Linked DNA regions of Caenorhabditis elegans. The protein of the gene in region 2 interacts with the protein of the main gene of each other region in a biochemical or structural test. Each region holds a gene or a part of one and is shown on either strand. Other genes may lie near its edges. The genes, in order: npr-11, flp-15, npr-6 and npr-4.

Region 1 (6,240 bases), on a different chromosome or scaffold from region 2:
TACATTTGCATATAATACTCAAACGTAGCGTTTGCATTTTTTAGTGTACACAGTATACACGTGGCGTCAGGCTGTCTCATCACAGGTTGATCTACAAAAAATGCGGGAATATTTTTGCAAAAATTGTGACGTCAGCACACTTTTAACCATGCAAAATCAATTGAGATGTCTGCGTCTCAACTCCCGCATTTTTTGAAGATCAAACCGAAATGAGATATTCTGACTCCACGTGAGTATATACTTTTGTCCCAAAAGATTTTTGTTATCATTCTTACATCAAATCCCCCCTCCCTTAAAAAAAACAAGCTTTTTTGACCAGTTTCCGATGAGTAGTTCATTAAAATTCACTTTCCTGTCTCGAAACGAAGAACCAAAAACTTCCATATCCATGACGCCATTTGTTTTGAAAAGCTGCCGAACAATATGGTTGTTCAACTCAAAAATACCCTAAATTTTCCGCATGACTGCGCATTTCAGTCAGTCCCCTCCCTAATCTTCGGTCACTTCTCTCAAATTTGACCAATCATCTCTCTTATGACAAGCTTCATTTACAAATCTTCATATGTGAAACATAATAGGCTGAATCAGCAACATACTGACGGAAACGAAAAAAAAAGTAAAAAAAAAGAACATCAAAATCAAATAAATTAGGTTTTAGAAGCGTTTTGAAACAATGACGGAATGATTTATTGTTACCCTACATGTTTTCTTAAACAATCACAGCTGCTCATCTTGCTCCATCGCACTCAGAATCATACTTTCATTCATTCTCTGGAAGGTTGCTGGCTCTGCAGTAGTTACCGTCTTACAGCCTCCACGGCTTCTGAATTCAGTGCGCATACTTTTCTTGAGCGACTCTTGCTCTCCAAATATCACGACTCGAAGGGATCTGGAATATTGCGATATTTTTTTGAATTTTCAGATTTTTCTACAGTACAACCATCTATAATTTTCTTCAAATTTACTCATTATTCCGTGAGCCTAATCTCCGCAATTTTTGTAGATCAATGGTATTACGGGAACACAAAATTGTGAGAATGCGTACTGCACAACATATTTGACGCGCAAAATATCTCGCAGCGAAAACTACAGTAATTATTTAAATGGCTACTGTAGGTCGATTTAGGAGCTTGATTCTCAAATTGAATTAAAATCATTTGTTTATCAATATAATATATAAATTAAGGAGGAAAATATAACAAAAACGAAAAAAAATGGAATATTGATGTCCCTATTCAAAAAGAAAATCACTTCAAAAATTGAGCCCGTAAATCGACACAAGCACTACAGTAGTCATTTAAAGAATTACTGTAGTTTTCGCTACGAGATATTTTGCGCGTCAAATATGTTGTGCAATACGCATTCTCAAAATTTTATGTTCCCATAATAAAGGACCTCTTTATTATGCGTGTCAACTTAGGGCGCTTAATTGGTAGATCGCTTTTATTTTCTGGGTGTATCACGACTTTGATACAAAAGCTGTAAACCAGGCCACACACCGCAACAGTTCTTCTACCAAACTATTACAGTACCTTGGTAGTTCCTATTATATTTATATAACTCTTGAGGAAAGGTTTTCCACAGTGTAATAGCCCCACTGTGTTTAGACCACCTGCCGGCAGGGTCTTAACACGGCAATTTTTTTTCAAAAATTGGAAGGTGAGCCTTTAAAGAGTACTGTAGTTTACAACTCATTGTTTTTATCAACTAATTTTACGAAAAAAAAAATCATCAAATTAATAATTGAAAATTTGAGAAAACCGTATGTCTATGAAAAATTCATGAAATTTTAGCGATAATAAAGTTTGAAAATTACAGTACTCCTTCCTCAAAGGCGCACATACTTTTGTATTTAACAAAAATGTATCGTGACGGGACCTGGTACTGGACGTTTTTGTGCAAAATGACAAAATTGCAAAAATTTTCCACCAACTTTACACATAAGTGTTACCAAAATTAACTTAAAATGTTCACAAACCTCAACCCAACTCTATCGAAAAGATGCATAAATTCGATCCGGAAGTTATGATTGAAAAATGCATAGATCAGCGGATTCAAGCACGCCGAGCACATTGCCAAGCAGTGACAGATGCTGAACGTTGTAACGGAAAAACTGTTGACCAGCTCGAATGTGTTGAACTGAAATTTGTTATGGTTTTAGTGGAACATAAAACGAAAATGCTCCTACGATATGAAAAACGTTGAGTGGCAGCCAGGCGACGGCGAATACAGCTACAACGCATACAAGAAGGAGGTGGGTGCGTCGTTGACGTTCCACGACGGATCTGGAACTTTTTTTAAAATAATTTTATTTCGAAGAACATCTATTTTGTACAATAAATTATGTGAAAAATTTTAAGTTGTTTGATTTTTGAATAAGCTCAAAATTTAGTTCTCCAGGCAAGTAATGATCCGAAAGTTTCAAAAATAACTTGAAATTGGGTGATTGGGTTAATTTCAAAATGTTGTAGATATCAGTTTAGTATAAGTTCATTCACATGATTTTTTTACAAAAAATTAAAGTTTTTTACTAACATTTTTTGAAAATTTTATGACCGCAGATAAAATAACAAATTTTGAGCACATTTTTCTCGAAGTTTCACAGTAGTAAAGGTGGAATAGCCCAAATGGGTAAATTGATAAAAACAACTCCTATGGTGTCAAATATCATAGTAAAACATTTCAAAAAATGCTCTAAAAATTTTTATTGGGCTATTTATTTTTTTTGCACAAATAGAGATTTTCCCAATTTTCAAAAAAAATTACATCAAATTTAGAAAATTGTTTCAATTTTTAAATTGTGGTATTCGGCCCAGGTGGGTCAGATTTTCTCAGAAAAGTTCTGTTAGAACAGTGTTTCAAAAATTTCGAATGCCACTTAAAACGTGGAACTTTACATTTTTCGAAACAAAAACATTTCAAAAATTTCTTACCGTCTCCTCTGACTCGTATTGGTATTTGTTGTCACATTCTGATTTCGGTTTGCAAATCTCAGCTTCATCCGATGTGCTATCCGGGAGTAGGCGAAGACTAGTGAAAACAGGGGAAATGCGTATTGGGTGATAAGAACTGCCAACGTGTAGGTGCCTTTTGATATGATCATCTGGAAAAATTGGAGTTTAGCCGAAATTGTCTTTTTTTATATTTGTTTTTATATTTCCATACATACTGGTTAATATAATACCAGTTAACATGTTTTCAGAAAACTGAAAACTTTAAAAAGTCATTTGAAATTTTATTTGAAAATTTTAAAAAATCGGAACAATTTTTTTAAATTTTTTTTCAACTCTTTTATGTATTTGGAAATTATGACACATTTTCTATTACTCAAAGCAAATTTCCATAGAAAGTATTAAGCAAGTTCCCTTGACTATCGTCACACCATATTAACCTAATTATTACAGTAATACTACAGTACATAGACAGTTTTTATATTTCATTAATAGGAGCTGATACATGAAGCTTATTGTTTAGTTTATAGTTCATTTAGACCACTAAGAACCAACCTTTTCCCATATCTCATTTTGCTCATGGCAAATGTAAAGAGCCAAATCGCACGATGGCTCAACGAAAACCGGTGTCAAATCAGAAGCCTGCAGAAGTGGAACCGCAAGGATTAGGGAAATCACCCAGATCATGATAAAAAAGCAGAACGACAGATTTTGTTGTCGTTCTCGCTTCGTTGGGAAGATAATGAGCACGTATCTGAAAACTTGTTAAATGGCATTTTTAATTAAAAAAAATATATGTACATACCTATCAACAGCAATTGAGGCTATCGAGAATGTGGATAAAAATATGTTAAAGCCTTGCAGCGAACCCGCAATTTTGCATAATGTCCTGCTAAATGGCCAGAACATGTAGAGAACCGTGTATAATGTGGTCGGCGCTGTCACAATACAAACCTGGAATTTTTCAAATTGTTTCCTATCTTCAATAATTCCAGCAAAAAATACTCACAAAAAAGTCCGACAGCGCCAAGTTTAAAATGAAAAAGTTCCTTGTTGTCCGCATTGCTGGGTTGAGTATGACTACGATGATTGTCAAAAAGTTGCCTATTGCTCCAAACAAAATGATCAGCATGTATGCGAATGTGATGAAATATCCGAACTGAAAATTTGAATGTTAAGTTTTGAGTAAGCACTGACCATTTTTAAATTTGCACTGACAAAGTTTTGATTTGCACTGACAAAATTTAAAAAAATTGTCTTTTTGAATACCAACCTCTTTTGGTGAATACTCAGTCCCATTGATAACCTGATCATCTCGAAAAAAGTAGTTGATTTTGTTGAAAATTTCTACATAATTGTCACATGATTCATTCACCGATCCCATTTGTTGAAAGTTCTGAAAATACCGACGAAAATACAAAAATACGGGAGATGAAATTGAAGGCAAGAAAAAAAATATGTGAAACGCCAATTTTCTCACACAGAAGGGAAATAAATAAACGAATATTCCAAGAAATTGAGCATCCAGACTAGTGGTTAGTCGGTCGGTTATAAGAGAAAAATATCAAAAAATGAGAGGTAATTACTGCGAATTATAGAGAAGAAATGAAAATTGAAAAGTGAAAACTATCATCTCATTTAACTCATTCTCCCGCCCCGGTGTCTACTCCCATATCCCTTTTAAATTGAAACTTTATAAAAACAATAACGTTGAAAGACAGGGGTTTGGGAGCAATATGTGCACCGAATTTCAGGAATAACTTAGTTTTTTTTTTTAATAATATTTTTTCAATTTTACCAGCCACAATCATCTATGTTATGCTGCCTAAAAATACACAACTTGCACTGACAAGATGTTTAGTTGCACTGACCAAAACTTCGAATGACTTTATCCAATGGCTATCATATATGCCAATTGCACTGACAAAATTTTCAGTTGCACTGACCACTATATCATTTGCACTGACAAAAATTTTGATTGACTTTATCAGTTGCACTGACCACATCTCCATTGCAATGACCATAATTTTTGGTTTACTGTTAAGAATTGCACCAAATTCGAAAGAATCTCGCAAACAGTCAAAAGCTATAGGAAATAGCAAAAATTAATAAATGTGTGGGAGCAGTTCATGAAAAATAATTTTGAAAAAACAAAAGAAGCGGTGAATGAGCTCACCAGAGACAACCAAATACGATTAAACCAAACTAGTAGCATCACCACAAGAATAAAAAATTTATATGACTTTGTTTTGACGGAACTCGTCTTTTCAACCGCCATTTATTTCGGCCACCCAGGTCGGTTTTTTTAAACATTTCTCTCTGCCATCTTGTGGTGGATATCCATAAACATCGGAAATGCAGGAACGGGCCGGATATGAAATGGAGAAGTGAAACACAACAACAACATCAACAAAAGAAAACTGGTATCAGAAAACAGAACTTTGTGTGTTTTTAAAGGTGGAGTTCCAAAATCTGAGACCTTGAGACTTTCCATTTTTCAGACCAAAAATTTTCGAAAATTTTTTTTTCCGAAAAACAATTGTAGAAATGAGGGGTTTTTTGAGCTAAAATCTCGTTTTTTCACAATTTTGCCAATTAAAAAAGTCCCAACTTGAAGAAATAAGGTTCATTAAATTATCACCCCCTGCGACACATTTTTTCGATTTTTTGATTTTTACAGGGAAACTTTCGAAAAATCGATAAATTAAAATGTTTGTTTTTTGAAAATCTGAAGTAAAAAATTCCGATTTTCTTCAATTTTTTAAAGGGAAAATCGGAAAATCGAAAAATTTTTCCATTTTTTTGAACAATTAAATCGTTAATTTTGTATAAAAGTTTACAGAAAATTAACGATAAAATTATAATTTTTAATCAAAAACCAAACAAGAAAATGTTTGATTTTTTGATTTTAGTTAAAAAAAAATCAATCTAATCTACTGCAAAATCGGATTTTTCCAAAACTTTGATCCAACTTAACTTTGTTTTGAGAAAATTTTAAGCAAAACTAAATAACAATTATTTTATCAAAATTTTGGATTTTATAGTAAATTTTCATAAAGGGTAATAATTAAATGAAACTTACTTATTCAAGTTCTGATTTTATTTAATTGAAAAAATTTTAATTTTGGCTAAGATACAACTTTTTTTTCCAAAATTTTACACCACCATTTCATGTTTTTCGAATAAATTTCAAAACCTTTCAGTACAAAATTCGGTAGTTTCATGTCAAATTGAATCTAAAAAAAGCAAATTTTCAGATTTCTGTTATTTTTCCACCTTTAAGAATCCC
Region 2 (6,517 bases):
CTCGATTAGTTCAGAAAAAAAAGAGTTTCAGAAAATAAAACATCGACCATTTTCAATTTTCTGAGTTTCCAAAGTTCAATGATCAATAGTTCATTAGTTACAGACATGGGTGCGCGGTAATCGGAAATTTTGGTAATTGCCGAAATTGCCGATTTTCATTCAAGGATTAAATCATGCCGAGCTTGAAAAGAGAAAATTGTCCATTAAAATTCATGTTGAGTTTCGTAAATCTACAAAAAGTATCGAATTTATATTTCCGGCGATTCTGAATTTCAGCAATCGGCAATTTCGGCAATTGCTGGGTTTCAAAATCTCCGGCAATTGGCAACTTTGGCAATTGTCGGTTTTGTGAATTTTCGGCAATAAGCAATTGCCGTGCACCCTGTTTACAGAGTTAACACGATTTCAAAGTTAGAAATTTGCTGGTTGCCGACTACTCGAAATAAAGAATATCAAAACTTTCATCCATTTGACAGACATTTTCTGAAAATTGTTATAAGTTCATCGATAATGATATAATAATAATAATAATAATATAATTAACTTGAAAACATATTTTATTAACCAATCATCTTATTTATTTCATAGAAACACATGCAGCACAGTCAGGTGAGGGATGGAAAAACGGGGGAACGGAATCGGGGAGAAAAAAGTTGTTGGCAAGAAAATGACCGCTCTCCAAATTATTTACTGGTACCACGACGCGACGTCTTCAGCAGCAGGTGCCACGTGGAATGATGATCGCTTTCCAAAACGGAGAGGTCCAGATGGTCCACGTCGTTTTCCGAATCGAAGTGGTCCCTGGGGTCCGCCTTTCTTTACGTCTGAAAATTTAGCATAAAGTGGTCACCAAACATAAAAAAATTGGTAGGTTAAAAAGCAATCAAACCGTTTGAGATATAAAAAAGTTTTAACTGAAAATAGATAGAAAACTTATTTGTTATAAATGTTTTTAAAAGTATTAATTTTCAAAATGGTATTCTCACTTGAATTCAGCGATAAAATGTATTTCTGAACATTTTTTGAAATGCTGATATCTTTTTAGAAACTTAAGAGATCGAAAAGTTTTGAATAAACAAATGTTTTAAAACTTTGTGATTTTCATTTTTTAAGTTAACAATTCAAAAGCTTACAATTGGAAAAGTAGTCCAAATCAACAGCCACTGGGATTGTTCCGACCGAATTGTCGTCGTAATCTGCAATTTTAGAATGCTTGTTTTTTTTTTGAAATTTTGGTTCATTTGAAAGTCATAGTTTGAGCTTTTAATTACTACTTATTAGTTTTTAATTCCCATTGTTCCAATCTTGGAAATATCAAATTCCTTCTGAATCCTTTCAAGTTTATTTATAAAGTGACGTTTTTTTTTTCTCATTTTCCACTTTCTAAATATTTGTTTAAAATTCACAAAAATTCTCACATGAAACCCACTTCCGACACACGTACATATCATTTTTCCATAAATAATTCGAATGGACGCCGTGTGAAACTTTTGGCACAATTTTTTTGTTTTGTCTTCTGGTAATTTGAGATGCATTTTGTGCCAAAATTTTGAAATTTCTACACTCTGTTTAAAAATTTCAATTGAAAAAATGAAAATTTGCTGGAAAATCAATCAGACAATTTTTGACAAAAGCTTTGGTAAACTTTCGACAATTCCGGCAGTTTAGTAGTACTTTTTTGGGAAAGAATCTCAAAATTTTGAATGTTGCCCCGTTTGACCTCAGCACCCAAAAAAAGAAAAATCTCCCCCAACTTTTTTTTTCATAAAATATTCAATCTTTTATCACTCATCTCAAACATCTACCCCCTCATCTGCATAAACGTGATGCTCTCGAAAAAAAACGAAGAATTTGTCAAGTTTTCATTATCAAAGTGAGAGAAAAGAACAAAAGAATAAATTAGACAAGGAAGCTCGTTTTGTTTGACTAGCTGAGTTTTTGGAATTTTTAGGTAACGGGTTTGTGTGACGAACTTTTTTTTGAAAGTATAAATAATTCTTAACCAACTTCAATAGTTTATCAAACTATTGTCAACTGAAATTTTTTTGCAATTCTCTCTAATGTTTTCTCTCTAATTTTGTAGTCTGCTGCTATGCCTATTTTATCTTGCTTCGGTATAAATGTTTAACGGTGGAGTACCGAAATCCGAGACTTTGTTTTTTAGATCCAAAATGACCCAAAACTACCGAATTTCGTATGAAACGTTTTAAACATTTTTCAAAAAAGTTATAACGAGTTCAAAGTTCTGGAAAAAAGGCTCATTTTCTGCTAAAATCAAACATTTTTGCCATCTTCTCGCTGTCGCAGCGTCTGGAACTCAATTTTGGAATAAACAAATGACATATTAGTTTAAAATTAAAAAAAAATTAATTGCTACACTTGCAATTCTAAAAAAATTTGAACAATATAAAATCGTGTTGTTAATTAAATTTTCTTGGGAAAATTAATCGCATTTCAAAATACTGATAATATTGAAATCTGTGGTCTAAAAAACTAATTTTTGGTCAATCATCGACGTCTGATAATTTTAGTACCAAAAGGCAAAAATTTTGTCCAGTAACCTCAAATTGTGTCAAAAGAATTTCGTGATCAGTGAAAATAATTAACTTTTAAATGTTAACTTTTGAAATTAGCCGCTTGCGTTTTAAATTGTTAAAATTAAAATCCCCAGCCCATTTTCAAATACACAACCATCATCATTCCTAAAGGTTTCCAAAATAAAGCGAGCCCCATGTGTTGCTCATTGGTTTCAAACTTTCAAACTAATCGCCTGACGACCCCCAGTGGACGTGCACCGCCAATAAAACCTTACCAAAGTTAGACCCTGGAGTGTGGAAATGAATGAAAATCGATGCAAATGGCTCCTCTTTATGGTTGATACATGTGTACATATTATGACAAAACAAGAAGAAGAAGAAGACACTACTATGTAGACGGGCGTGGGTGGTGACAAATTTGGAAGTTTTAGTGGGAAGTTTTAATCCCTTACACCTTAGACTAGAGACATTTTGATTTTGAAATAGGAATTATAAAATTTTTATCTACGGTTCTTTGGCAACTTGTAAATCTCAAATAATTTGAATTTTGTCTTAAAAATAGTTGTTGCACGAAATTCGGCAATAATACTTTTCAAAATTACCGATATTCTATAAAAAATGAAAACAATTTTTGAAAAATTATAAGAATTTTGAAATTTGCCCAAACTCTTGATCAATCATCAAATCCTCACAAAAAAATTCGGCAGCTTTTAAAATAATGTCTTTAAAAATTTGGCAATTTTTGGAATATTCCTAAAACTCTTGACTAATTTTCGCTAGCTCTTCGGCTTTTCATGAACTTTTGGCAAATTTTTGAAACTTTTAAACAGTTTTTGATGTTTTTTTTTGCAAATTTCGACGCTTTTGGAAAAACTATCAGCTTCCGGCACTATTTCAAGCTGTCGAAAATGTTTTGCGACTTTCAAAATCAATTTCATCATCGTTTACAACCGATTTAAACATTTTAACGATCTTTTGCACTTTTCCACTTACAAATCTAAAAACTTCAGTTTTCTGACTTCTAAACCCTTACCTTTTCACTTCCGGAGCCCAGTGATCCGTAAAGTCAGAATTTTTCCAAAAATTTTACTACTAAACTACACAAGCGGAGGAGTAAGGGAGGGGATTGTTGAATGACAAATGGGAAAAGAACAAAGAAAGTGGAATTAGGAAATGACAAGAAATGATGGAGGAATGGATCAAAACTGACAGGGTTACGGTAGGGTGATGTCATCGAAATTTTGAAATTATATATTTATAATTTTAGAGCTGTCAAAAATTTGTTACCAGTTACAATGTAACTGGTAACAAATAACTTGTAAAAATGTTTTTTATTGCTTTATTAGACTCAAAATTGTCTGACAACACCCGAATTTCATAATGAAACTTCATGAAAACTTCTCAAAAAAATAGTTATACGGCTCAAAAAAGGGCCTAATATTAGTCAAAATTTGAAATTTGACGGAATTGTCAATGTCGCAGCGGCTGATAACATTGTTTTAAATCACCGCCAAATTTTGAGTATATGAGTATATGTAATTATTTTGCCTTTTCAACTCGATTTAGTTATTTTAAAGTCGATGGACCAAAAGATTTTAAACATTTTTACCAAATTTCTTCGTCTATTGGCTTACTAAATCGAGTTGATAACGCATGATAACTAAATTTTATACCCAAAATTTGACGGTAATTTCAAAACAGTTTTTAGACCATTTTTTGAGCCGTCATAACTTTTTTTTCGAGAAGTTTTTAAGAAGTCTGCGTTTTCAGACAATTTTGAGGGTAGTAAAGCAATTTTAAAAAATCTGGCAAGTTATAGTGAATTTTTTGGTCGATTTATTATCAATTTGTTTTAAATGTTTTTCTTGTTTTTGCTCCAGTCTCACCAAAGTAAAAACTTGACAGTTAATTTTTTTGTTATAATCCCCCGTTACATTTGGGTGTTGCTAAAAAATTTCCATACTTCTTTGATTTATTATCTACAATCTGACTGACTAAAGTTCAACTTGACTTAAATGGCGAGCTCTGTTTTGAGTAAACCGCCAATTTGCCTGTCAGAATGTCGAAATGATGTAAACTTTTGAAACTAAATATCAAGTTTGCTGGAAATCGGATCACGAGGATATGTATCATAAGTTTTTGAATTCGTCACTCGGAGAATACATTTTTTAAAACTTATTTATTCAGCCATTATGCTTCTCAAACCTGCAGTTATAACTAAAGCTGGTCAACTCACCCAAACATGTATAAAACTCCGTAAAAAACCTAATCTTTTTGATTTTTCGTATTGTATAGAATCCGTATCGTATTTTCAGTTTGCAAATCTAGCCAACAACTCTTACCTGCAAGTGTAGCAATTGCCAAAACCGCAAAAACTGCAACTCGAATAAGCGTGGAGAACTGCATGACGAGGTGTATGTGGGAGACCTTCTTCCAAAAAATGAGCCGAAAGCTCTTGCGAAAGCGCACACGAGCAGATAGGGCGGGATCTGAGCTCCGCCCTTTGCGCAGCTCTGTAGTTATTGATGAGCAGTCAGAAACTTGATATTTTTTGAAATGAAAATTTTGAAATTGGGGAAAAGGTACCACTTTTCAACAAAACCTGACACCACTTTTGAAGTTTGCTCCGAATTCAGGAGTTTGGCACATATATAAGTGACCAAAAAAGTTCAACGCTTAAAATACTATTCTATATATTTTTCAGATTAATTTTGCAGATAATATCAAAAAATTTGAAAAAAAATGGATTCCGGTGATACCAACTGACAATATAAAAATTTGAAGTAGCGGGGCAGACTGAATTCAGTAGATATGACACAAAATACTAAATTTTGCAAAGAACGAGTTTTGAGTGGTTATTTCAGCTTTAGGAACACTTCCTGTAAACTACTATTAATTTTTATTTGACTTATAACAACCGAGAAAGTGTTCAAAAATTGTCCGAATGTGGAAAACTGGCGTCAATTTTTCGGCAATTTTCAACATTCAGACGATTTTTGAAGATTTTTCCAATATTTTTTACTGAAATAACAGTTATTTTCAAGTAATGCAAATATTTTCTATATTGTACCATTAAATTTTAACGAATAATATCGGGGGAACATTCCCAACCGTCTCATTTTGTAGAATTCCCGCGCACCCCTGATTGGCACTCTAATTCACAACCCCTTTCTAACGAGAACTTCGAATTTAAAAAAACCCAACTATAGCCTTTGTTTTTAAAAAAAATTTATGTTCATAACTTTCAGATTATATTAAAAACGATAACTTCAAAGTTTCAGAACCATGAAACAGGCGTGACCTAGCGTACAGTACCCCTTATTGGACCGCCGCATCCCCAAAAACTTCAGAGCGGCAATAATTACACCTGGTAATTATTACACCAGTTGTTGTCACTTGAAAATGGTGTCGTGTTACTGTAGCCCCGTGTGTATCCATAATTCGGTCATATTTCAAACGAAACCGGCACAATATTGCAGAGAGACAATTGACTTTTATGTATGCAATTAACGGAACTAACAAAGTGGAAATGGTATTTCTGTAGTTTGTTGAGATGAGAAGTTGAGGGGAAAAACTTGGAACCTTTTTTTAAATACATTTTTAAGTATCAACTTAAATAAAATTGAGCAAAATTATATTTCGAAATTTGAAAGTTTTACAAAATTTTGATAATAACTCAATCCTCAATGGCTTTTTTTTTGAAACAGAATTGAGATATTGGCAGAATTCAAGACACCGTTTAAAATTTTCCGCGTTATATTGGATAGATTTTCGGAATTCAAGATTTCGGGAAAAAATTTAAAATTCTGCCCGCCGAATTAATTCAGCGAGTGTTTTTTTTCGGTGTTTAAAATTCCGTTTTCTTCATTTTTTTTTCAATGATATATTTTTATTGTAGTTTGAAAATTTTGATAATTGAAAAATATCCTAACCTAGTAACAAGTTGTAACAACAGACGCCTCGTAGGTTTCAAAATTAAA
Region 3 (4,983 bases), on a different chromosome or scaffold from region 2:
TAAATGTCTCTCTCAATACAATCCACAGGTAGCGTTCTCACTCCCATTTTTGAAATGCAATGTGAAACAAATTTTCATTCAGGATGCGCCGGCAATTGAGAAAAATTTTGACAAAACCTATATGAATGGTGATCATGTTGATGAAACCATCTATGCCGCCCGTCCGAAGACATATTCGGAATACCGCAGTGAAGCTGTTATCGAAAGATATTAAAAATTTACCCAAACTTTTTAGATTTTATTACAATTTTCCTCTGAAAAAAAAAACAAAATAATTCCTAATTTCCCATATTTATAATATTATTATCAAGTCAATTCAAATTCAATTTAAATGACCATAACCAGGAAAAGACATTTCACCAATTTTCCAATTCGATTTATTTTACTTATCCACATCTACCAATTTCCCGTTCCAGCATGTTTTTAAATATGTCATTCTGAAATTTCGTCATGATTCTGTTATACCCTTCTTACTTGAACCATATCTGATCTTATCAACCACACCAGTTGAACCAATTTTTTGTAACCAATATGAAATTTCATTTACAAATATTTTATCAAAATGTGACAAGAAGAAGAAACAAAAGATAAATCAGCATCAAGCAAGATTTGTGCAAATACAGCAGTGCATAAGTTAAGTATAACCACATAGTTTAGATCAGGACAGGTTTGATCAGAGATTTAGCTGAAAAAATCTTAGGAAAGAAAAACAATATGACCAAAAAAATAAAATGTTGAATAAGTGTTTTTATGAAAATTACATATGAAGGCAAGTGGAAAGCGGATAAATGTACTGGCAAGTGACATGACTAAAAGCGACTTTTGTTCTGACTTTCCGGTTTTGTATTGAGCGGCTTAAAGCAGAAGCGTCTGACAACTTGATCCGTTCTCAGGCTCATCGAGATACACGATACTGCGCTGCGGCTCCACTGCAGTTTGAAGTGGACTCTCTGAATCTGTTTCTAAAGATTGCTGGTTTGTTGAAAAGTTCACTGACAACGAGTGCATGCAGGGAATGAATGGCTTCCTATTCTTCGTTGGATGTCGGGTGTAAAAGTTCTTAACGAAGAATAACTAAGGATCAAACAACATAAAAGTAAAACTCACCAGAAATCACCGTAACAGGCTGTTCCTCCACTTTTTTTTTTCGGTTTGCACGTCGAAACGGGTTAGTTATCATAGCGGTGCGTTCTAAAAAAAAAGCTAAGCAAAAATAACTTCAAATTTATCAGGTTTTACCAGTGATGACGCGAATTGGACCAGTTCCAGGACGACGCGCAAACAAGCAGGGAACAACTTTTGCGAACTCCTCACTGAAAATGAGCATTGCAAGAAAATGAAAATTAAATAATTCAATTTATTGAATTTAATTTAATTGAATTTAATTGAATTTTGAACTGTGCAAATTTTTTAAATAATCCTAAATTTACCAAAAAGTGTCTTTTTTTTTAGTTTAATCTGTTTCTAATTATAAGAAGAAACAGTGTCACGAGAGGAAATTTTATTGAGTATTTATAAAAAATAAATTTTTAATAAAATAAATGAGAACTGAACACACAAATGCAGTCTAAGATAAAACTTCTTGACTTTTTATCAATTGTATTTTCTAGCACATGTTTACGTATCAAATTTTATAACTTGTATTTTCAACCTGAACGAGAAGAAAACAACCCCTCGTAATCTTTTAACTGCAATTTATTTTCCAATAAATCGTTGAGTCACTAATGATTATCAATTGTTGTCTGTATTGTTTAAAACGGGTTTTCGACCAGACGGCGGCGAAATGCAAATCCCATAAACCCACCGGAAGGTCTCATTCATGAATGCGTAGAGGATTGGATTCCAGGCGGTAGCTGTCATACTCATCAAATGCACGGAAAGGAAAACAAAACTGAAGTAGCCACGCATGAAATTATCCAACTTGAGATCTCGGAGACAGTTTCTGAATTTATTTCAAATATATGACATATTATTCACTTCTAAACTAACAAGAGGTTGAATGGGAACCAGCAAATTGCGAAGATGACCACCATGACAATCAACATCCGTAGTAAACGCTTTTTGCGCTTGATATCGGATTTTCTCTCGGTCATACTTTGACGGCTATTTAGGAACAACCATATTTTTATGTAACTAATGGCAATGAGTACAAATGGCAAAATGAACTGAAAATTGATTTGTGCATAGGCATAGATATATGTATATATAATCCCCCGGTAATTTATACAAATAATTTCATTGTCCCCAACTCACTTGAAGAATCATCACCACAATTCCAAAAATAGATCGAAATTCGGCATTGCTCCAGTCCTCACTACATATCAGAAAATCACATGGTTCATGAATGTAGTTGAGCTTCATGTTGATGGCATACGGAGTGACCAGAAGCAATGAGCATAGCCAAATGAGGACAATGAACGAAAGGCAAGACTGAATTTGGTATGTACGAAAGTTTCAAAAAAATTTTAAAAATTAGAATTTTTTCCAATTACAAAGTTGTTCTACACCGAAAACAGGAAAAACTATTATTTTCATGGAGGTTACTTTGTTAACTGTACTTCAAAAACACCTTTCTATAGACTAAGAAATGAGAGTTTTGGTTTTTTGGAGTTAGGTTTTTTATTGATACATTGTTCCTGCTCAACTTACTCTCATGGACATTCTATCATTTATATTGATATTTGATGAGTTGTGCACGATCACTATGTATCGATCTATGGCTATAGCCGTAAGTGTCCACGTACTGATGAAGATACTTGTACCTGTATAGTTAGATGCTTGATCACTGCTTAACTTCCCGTCTATATGTAAACCAATACCTTGGAACAGGGGTAAACCATGACACAATCCACCTCCGAATATCCAATGTCCTATTGAGGTGTATGTTGGTGTAAGCCACAACGATCTGAATATAAGAACCGGATATATCACTTCCGATTTCAAAAAAAACCCACGTAAAGTTAACCATTATATCAGAAACTGCGAGATTTGTAATAAAAATGTTGGTGATCGTCTGCATTCGCTTGTTCGTCATCACAACGTACACCACCTTAAACACAGTTGTTGGAAAACTGGAGAAATCGAAAATGATATTACTTACCAAAAAATTACCGGAACTAGCAACCAAAAAAACAGCACAATACATAGAAATAAAGAATGGGCGGAAATATTCCATTTCCATGGGGTTCTGAAACGTGTTTTTTTAAAATAAAAATTACTCGGCTTCAGTTAAAATAATTCATAATCAAATAGTTTCAATGAACATTTTTGATTTTTTTTCAAACGTTCACGAACAATTTTGGACACGAAAACTTACGTTTTTGATTTTACATGTACTTTGATATGAAGGTGTTGTTTCATTTAGTATAGAAGACACTGAAGGCACGAGATCATTCGACATCTGAATCAAATATTATCAGAAATTGGGATAAACGAAGAGCTGAAAATATTAGAATCGGGAGATAAATCGAGTACATTTTAAGAATTGTGAACTGGATATGTTTGGTTGCGATGTGTCTCGTTTAGACCTCTTTAAGTTCATAATATTCTGACGTGGGCGCGGTGGAAGAGTCGGAAATGAACTTGATTTTAAGGAGAAAAAACGAGATTTGACACGTTTCATAGAGCAAAAGATGTTAGAAGTATTTTCAAATTTAAAGCTCCCAAAAGAATATAAAATTGAGAATATGTTAAGTCAGTTATGAAAATTTAATGATATTCGCATCTTTGCAATTGACACTAGAAGAGCGACCACATCTAAACTAGAAATCTACATAGTTCATATAATACAAAACTGATGTCATGATTTTTGAAAAAAAAAATCAATAAAAATTACAATATTAATAATACACTATTAAACAGATTCAATAGAACCCAAAGTTTTCAATGATTTTTTAAAAATTGTTTGTTTTCAATTCTTCTTGTCAATCAAATAAAAAAGAGAACATGAGCCAAACACTTCCCTCATTTTCTTATTTTCTCACTTTCTGTGTGAGACTTGCAATTCTAGACGCGAAAAGTGAATCTCAAAGTGAGAAAAGAGGAGGCGTCGTGAACTTTTAAAAGGGAAAGAATCCATATACATGTGAGAAATTTTCTCTTTTTCGAAATAAGCTGAGACCCTTCTTTTTTCCCTTTACGTTAAACAAACTACATACTCATTTATTTAAAATTTGCCTAAAAACTGGTACGCAAACGCACAAAGCGAATCGAGAGTCCTTTGATTTATGTTATGAATTCATCTTCGATGAAGCGAATTTTGAATTTCCTATAAAAAACAGAAAGAAAGGGTCGAAATTCGAAGAAGAAGACGCTTACGTAAGTTCAACAAGCTAGATTCAAATTATTTGGTTTCAATTGAAAATCAGAAATGAAATATGGACGTGGAGAAGAAATAGAAAAAAGATAATGTAAGGAGCCAATGGATTTAATCTCTCTAAATGGTGGGATGTGAAACATTCATGAGATGTAGGCTACTACGAACCAAGGATAATGTTATTATCTTGATTGATAAAGCTCTCATTGTTGCAAAAAAAAGGACTCGCATAGTAGGTGACCTTTTTTAGAACATTTCCTTTTGATAGTTTCGTCTTTGCCCTTGCCCTGTCTATGTATAGGGTTCATCCGTCTATTCTCTATTTTTCGTCTGGAAATCCGACTCCAATACCGCGGAAATTGAATTTCGACCGGGCGATGAGGGGCACCAGAAAAAAGTCGAGAAAAACTGAAGCACTCCTTGAGGTGGAAAAGGAGAAACGTTGCACATGAACTAAAGTAAACAATTCTGAGAGGGCGGATAAGCTTTGGTGAAACTGAGACAACCAAATACAGCTCAAAATTGTAAGGCAAAGGATAGAAATTGGATAATGAGCGTAGGAAAACATTTTTGAAAACAGAAATCAGAATAAATCGAAAATTAATATAAATTTTAGCTCAAGGAGTATACTTGATGACACAACGAAAATTTTAATGAAACGTCACATT
Region 4 (4,589 bases), on a different chromosome or scaffold from region 2:
TTTTTGCGCGTGAATACTCAAATTAAACCATCATTCATAATTGATACAAGCATTCAAGTTGAGCAGAATGCGCAACATGTTTTTGTGATCAATTGGGGAGAACCTTTACAAAATAATTAAACATTCTTTCTAGGGAGAAATGTGTATTATGAACGTTTTAAACAATTTTGAAAATTGAAACTAATACGTAGAATGTGTAATATTCAAAAAGAACCGAAAATTGAAAATTTCTCAAAACATTGCGAGTTACTATAAATTTGAAAAATTGCCCAGTTTCAACTCTTCAAGAATCAAAAAAAACTTACAAGCGTTTTCCAAGGTTCACATTCATTTTTGAGAATACAAAGAATGATGAGAAAGCAAATAAGAAATTTCTCAAATCTCAAAAGACAAAAAACGATGTTAGTTAGCATTTTCTTACTCAACCCTCCCAAATAGTAACATAAAAATAAGCTCAATTGATCGGACAAATGGCATTTGTGACGCAATCTGCTGAACATGCAAATAACTTCCGAAAATATTATACTAAGCCTATCGCAGCGCAACATGAACTTGGCCAAGGAATCGAAAATTAAAATTTGAATGTGAAAGGCTTTTTCCGTTAAATGCATTTCCCAACGCTTCTCAGATAAATATCTTCTTTAAGCACAAAATAGAATGAAGTAAACGAATTTCCACTTTACTCCTCCGTCCAAGTCTCATCTAGATATATCGGGCCATTTACTATTTCTTCCAAAATATTCGCAAAAGCTCGAATCTATTGCACATCTTGTTCCGGACAAGCCAGACTGCGTCAAACATGCATATAGCAAAACTTCAACCTTTGTTCATTGTTTTCCTCATCGGGACCGGCTAAAAGGTGTACTTCTAGGTTGGTGACTGGTGTTTTCATAAATTACGAGACAATTGGGTGCCTACGTTGTCTCGTGACTTTGGTTTTCTTTTAATGTTCTCATTTTGTATTTGTTCATCGCGGTCAAAAAAACAAGAAGACGGAATGAAATAAATGGTTATTTTCCCAGAACCACTGATTTTTTAAGTGGAAGTAGTTTTCATAATTCATAAAAAATTCATTTAAAAAAAGCAAATGGGCTAGACAATGTGGTGTTTTCAAAACAAAAGCACATCACAATTATATAAACTGAAAATTATTTTTGAGGTCCGTAACAACCAGGAAATATGTATACGGTAATATTGCAAATTATTAAAGATTTTGGAAAAAAAATCATGTTCTTCAGCAGGTTCAAAGGAAACAAAAGAAAAAGCGGAGTGCTGTGACAATCTTAAAGCTGTAGTACGGTAGGTGAAAAATAATTGAAAACCATTACAATAGTGGTGCTAAAATTACCAAATATCAAAATGAAATTTTTGAAATCTTGACTCGGAGTAAAAAAAAATTTCAATAGCTTTTGAAAAGTTTATCATAATATTTTATCATTTTTGCAATATTAAACGGTTTTAATCATGTCCCCACTGGCTGTACAACATATCTTTCCGCCTACTCACAACCAATCGTAAAAACTTTTTTCCTCTTTCCCCTTCCCACATTTCACGTCAGCATTTCTGCAGATACCTTCTAATTTTGTATTTCAGATACATTATAATAACACCATGCTGGCATTTTTAACATTTTGAGCTTTGAGCATCAAAGATCGAACACTATGCGTTTCTCTCCTAATATATAAGATCAATTCTTTAGCGGCTCTATTTTAAAACGTCATTAATGAAATGAGTACGGAGAGAGAGACAGAGAGGAACTATAGGTGGGTGGTATAAAAAACTCGAGAGAGCGGGAGAAAGTTTCAAAGTTTTCCTTCCTTCTAAGGAATTTGATTATCTTAGGTCAGCGAAAAGTTGCAAAGATGAAGTGGTTGGTCCGTAGGAGAATGAAGTGCCAAAAAGTACAACGAGTAAGAGGAATACTGTTTTTGGATCCAAAAAATCTAGATTAAATCGTTCAAGAAAAGTCTTACTATAAGAATCTTGAAAAGTAAAAGTTCAACATTTGAGCTATTGTAAAATCGTTAGCAAAAAGTCAAAAAGAGCAATGTTCACAATTGTAGCGATTTTTTTCAAAATCACAAACGAATTGCCATTGATCTGCGAAAAACACCCAACAAACTCACACCACCCTTTGATCCATATTTTTTAGTTTTACTGGGTACAATTTCTCAATTTTGCCAATGATTTGTTTCTTGTTTTACATGATTAGCTGCAATTCAGTATTGTCTAACGCAATGCACCAAGAATCTTGATTGGCACCGAAAAATTGAGAATGTTGATCTAAAGATCAAAAACCCTTTTTTTTTTGGTAATGGAAAAACACCAATTCAGAAGAAAAAAAAAAGAACTTCACCAATTGAAAGTCGCATGACTCGTTCTCAACTGAGAAACGTGGAAAACGTCATCATTTGTTTTCTAGAAAAGGGGTGGCATTTTAAACTTGTTGAACTAAATTCAATTTTATGCAAAACGGAAGAAGGTTTCGAGATGTGATTTCAATTTAAGAAAGTTTTGACGGCGACGAATAAGAGCTGGTTGGCTCAAAAACACAATCGAGATTTGTCAGAGAATGAGTGATGGTGTGACAAGTGCACCACAATTTTGGAGTTTTCACTCGAAATTAGTGTTGTTTTTTTTACCATAGCTCGTCAAAATAGGCAATAATCTAATATTCACAAGTGTCTGAATTTGGGCTTAGAACTTTAACACTTGAGTTGTGGGAGGGTTTCTCTTTCAACTTTCCCAGAAACTAATAGACACCTCATTTGAAATGCGGAGGGGGACCCATTTTCCATTTTCAGGAACTTACCTTTCTCCAAACTTTCTTGCTCGGGTTATATTCCCGATTGTTATTGTGCCAATTTCCAGTAACATTGTTCTGTATATGTGTCTTCACCTAACAACTTTTCAGTTGCAATTCTCCGTAAACTTTGTGTTGATATCTGAAAATCAAACGATTGGTTATATAGTTTACAGTGACCGAGAGGCTTACCGTGATTAAATGAGAGCCTGGTGCCAAGGCAAGCTGGGCTGAAACAAATTGTATTTAGATAAATTCAAAGAAAGAATGGACAAGAAGAAATTGTGAGAAAAGATTAATATTATCCTCAACATCTGGCACCAAAAGCGTTTGTTTTCAGAAACGTTTGTACATTCTGCACTAATGCAATAAACTAATCGAGTTGGAATGAGAAAAATGGAGCAAGACAGGCGGAAAAGTTAATTTTCAGATTCTTAGAAAAAAACAAACAAAATTTTATGGCGGAGGATTACAATGACAAAGGATTTTTGCCTTTGTAAGTCTTTTCACTTTTGAAGAAACTAGTCTAGACTAGAACATGTGAAAACACCTTGAACTTTTTTTCAAGTTGTTTTAACTTTGGTGAAAAGTCAAATACTGGAAAATATTTTTTAATTGAATAAAATTATCTTTAATTTGTTTAAGGAGAATTTCAAAACCAACTAGAACAGGTAAGAAAACTTCAATTTTGCATTACTTGAAGATGGGTGAACTAGAAAGCTTTACCGCCAAACCTATTTTTTTTCAATGTGTACTACATTAAAGTTCTACAACATTATTTTATTTTTCAAATTAAAACTAAATTATATGTTATCCATAGAATTAGTTGATTTCATATTTCCTTACAATTGGAAAAATAAGTTTCGAGAAATACACAAACAATAATCACTACTTTTGTTTTTCAATCAAATTTGTGGAATTTAACATTTTTATATACTAATCTAAACATGACTCTACAAACAAATTTTTGTTATACTGTGAAACCGAAAATATAAAACAAAAGTGCTTCGATTTTTGGAGTTGAAAGAACAATTCGAACTCCGAACTCACTTCATCAAAAACCAACATGATTTTCTTCTTGTACAAAGATCGCAACAATTAAAACGGAAACAAGTGTAAGGTAAATAATAAAAAAGGACCAACCGACTGCAGATTGGCTTGCCCTTCTTCCGCAGGCGTTGCTCAATTGTCTTAGAGGGTCCATTTGGTTGTAAAAAAAGGGATTGAAGCCAGGAAAAAGAAGAATGGAGGGCGGAGAGCGGAGGAAAAAAGGTTCGGAGAAAAGGATGATAGAGTCATGCGGGGATGACCTCTAAGGATGTGCAAATGTTGCGTTGATTATTCAAGTCTGCGATTGGATGATTGGAGGATTGGGCTGATTTCGTCATTTGCTATCTAAGATTCAGGTGAATGCAATGAAGGTTCGGAGACCAAGTGCGATGCGTAAGAAAATGGTAATGAGCGCTGGGGATATTGAATGAACTTTCCCAGATCTTTGGAATAATTTTTATAAGACAACAGAAACTTGTTTTGTTGGAAAGGCCGTAAATTCTGTTACAATGTTATGTATATCAAATCTTTTTGCTTTTTTGTAAAATTTTTTTGATTTAATATCGTGTTTTTTTTCAGAGACTGCTTTCAAAATACATAACTATTTATCAGCGTTTATAAATTAGTAAGAAACACTGGAATTATCCATAAAAACAACAAAGTCAGTGAAAAGTTTGTGGGCTTGTTGCACAGATATTTATAATTTTGTTTTTTTTTTCGTATGTATTACATTAAT

Evidence for each region.
Region 1: of the proteins of flp-15 (region 2) and npr-11, one has a biochemical effect on the other in vitro, tested with the Caenorhabditis elegans proteins (one study listed by BioGRID).
Region 3: of the proteins of flp-15 (region 2) and npr-6, one has a biochemical effect on the other in vitro, tested with the Caenorhabditis elegans proteins (one study listed by BioGRID).
Region 4: of the proteins of flp-15 (region 2) and npr-4, one has a biochemical effect on the other in vitro, tested with the Caenorhabditis elegans proteins (one study listed by BioGRID).

The regions. Positions count from the first base shown.
Region 1 is NC_003284.9:1,251,281-1,257,520, forward strand, and holds npr-11 (Putative neuropeptide Y receptor 11), read right to left. Parts: upstream 4,368-6,240; 5' UTR 4,336-4,367; coding exon 4,225-4,335; intron 4,111-4,224; coding exon 3,961-4,110; intron 3,906-3,960; coding exon 3,757-3,905; intron 3,706-3,756; coding exon 3,507-3,705; intron 3,104-3,506; coding exon 2,934-3,103; intron 2,286-2,933; coding exon 2,189-2,285; intron 2,140-2,188; coding exon 1,979-2,139; intron 890-1,978; coding exon 718-889; 3' UTR 535-717; downstream 1-534. UniProt on the Caenorhabditis elegans protein: Could be a receptor for neuropeptide Y and peptide YY.
Region 2 is NC_003281.10:13,662,861-13,669,377, forward strand, and holds flp-15 (FMRF-Like Peptide), read right to left. Parts: upstream 4,980-6,517; 5' UTR 4,944-4,979; coding exon 4,880-4,943; intron 1,197-4,879; coding exon 1,134-1,196; intron 825-1,133; coding exon 688-824; 3' UTR 540-687; downstream 1-539.
Region 3 is NC_003284.9:10,282,296-10,287,278, forward strand, and holds npr-6 (G-protein coupled receptors family 1 profile domain-containing protein), read right to left. Parts: upstream 3,440-4,983; 5' UTR 3,401-3,439; coding exon 3,317-3,400; intron 3,188-3,316; coding exon 3,101-3,187; intron 3,050-3,100; coding exon 2,955-3,049; intron 2,906-2,954; coding exon 2,820-2,905; intron 2,763-2,819; coding exon 2,650-2,762; intron 2,431-2,649; coding exon 2,254-2,430; intron 2,166-2,253; coding exon 1,990-2,165; intron 1,943-1,989; coding exon 1,805-1,942; intron 1,314-1,804; coding exon 1,240-1,313; intron 1,192-1,239; coding exon 1,108-1,191; intron 951-1,107; coding exon 856-950; 3' UTR 524-855; downstream 1-523. Other genes in the region: slc-9B.1 (Cation/H+ exchanger transmembrane domain-containing protein), read left to right, coding at 1-28, 83-214.
Region 4 is NC_003284.9:12,548,645-12,553,233, forward strand, and holds the start of npr-4 (G-protein coupled receptors family 1 profile domain-containing protein), read right to left. Parts: upstream 3,034-4,589; 5' UTR 2,996-3,033; intron 2,946-2,995; 5' UTR 2,878-2,945; coding exon 2,813-2,877; intron 1-2,812.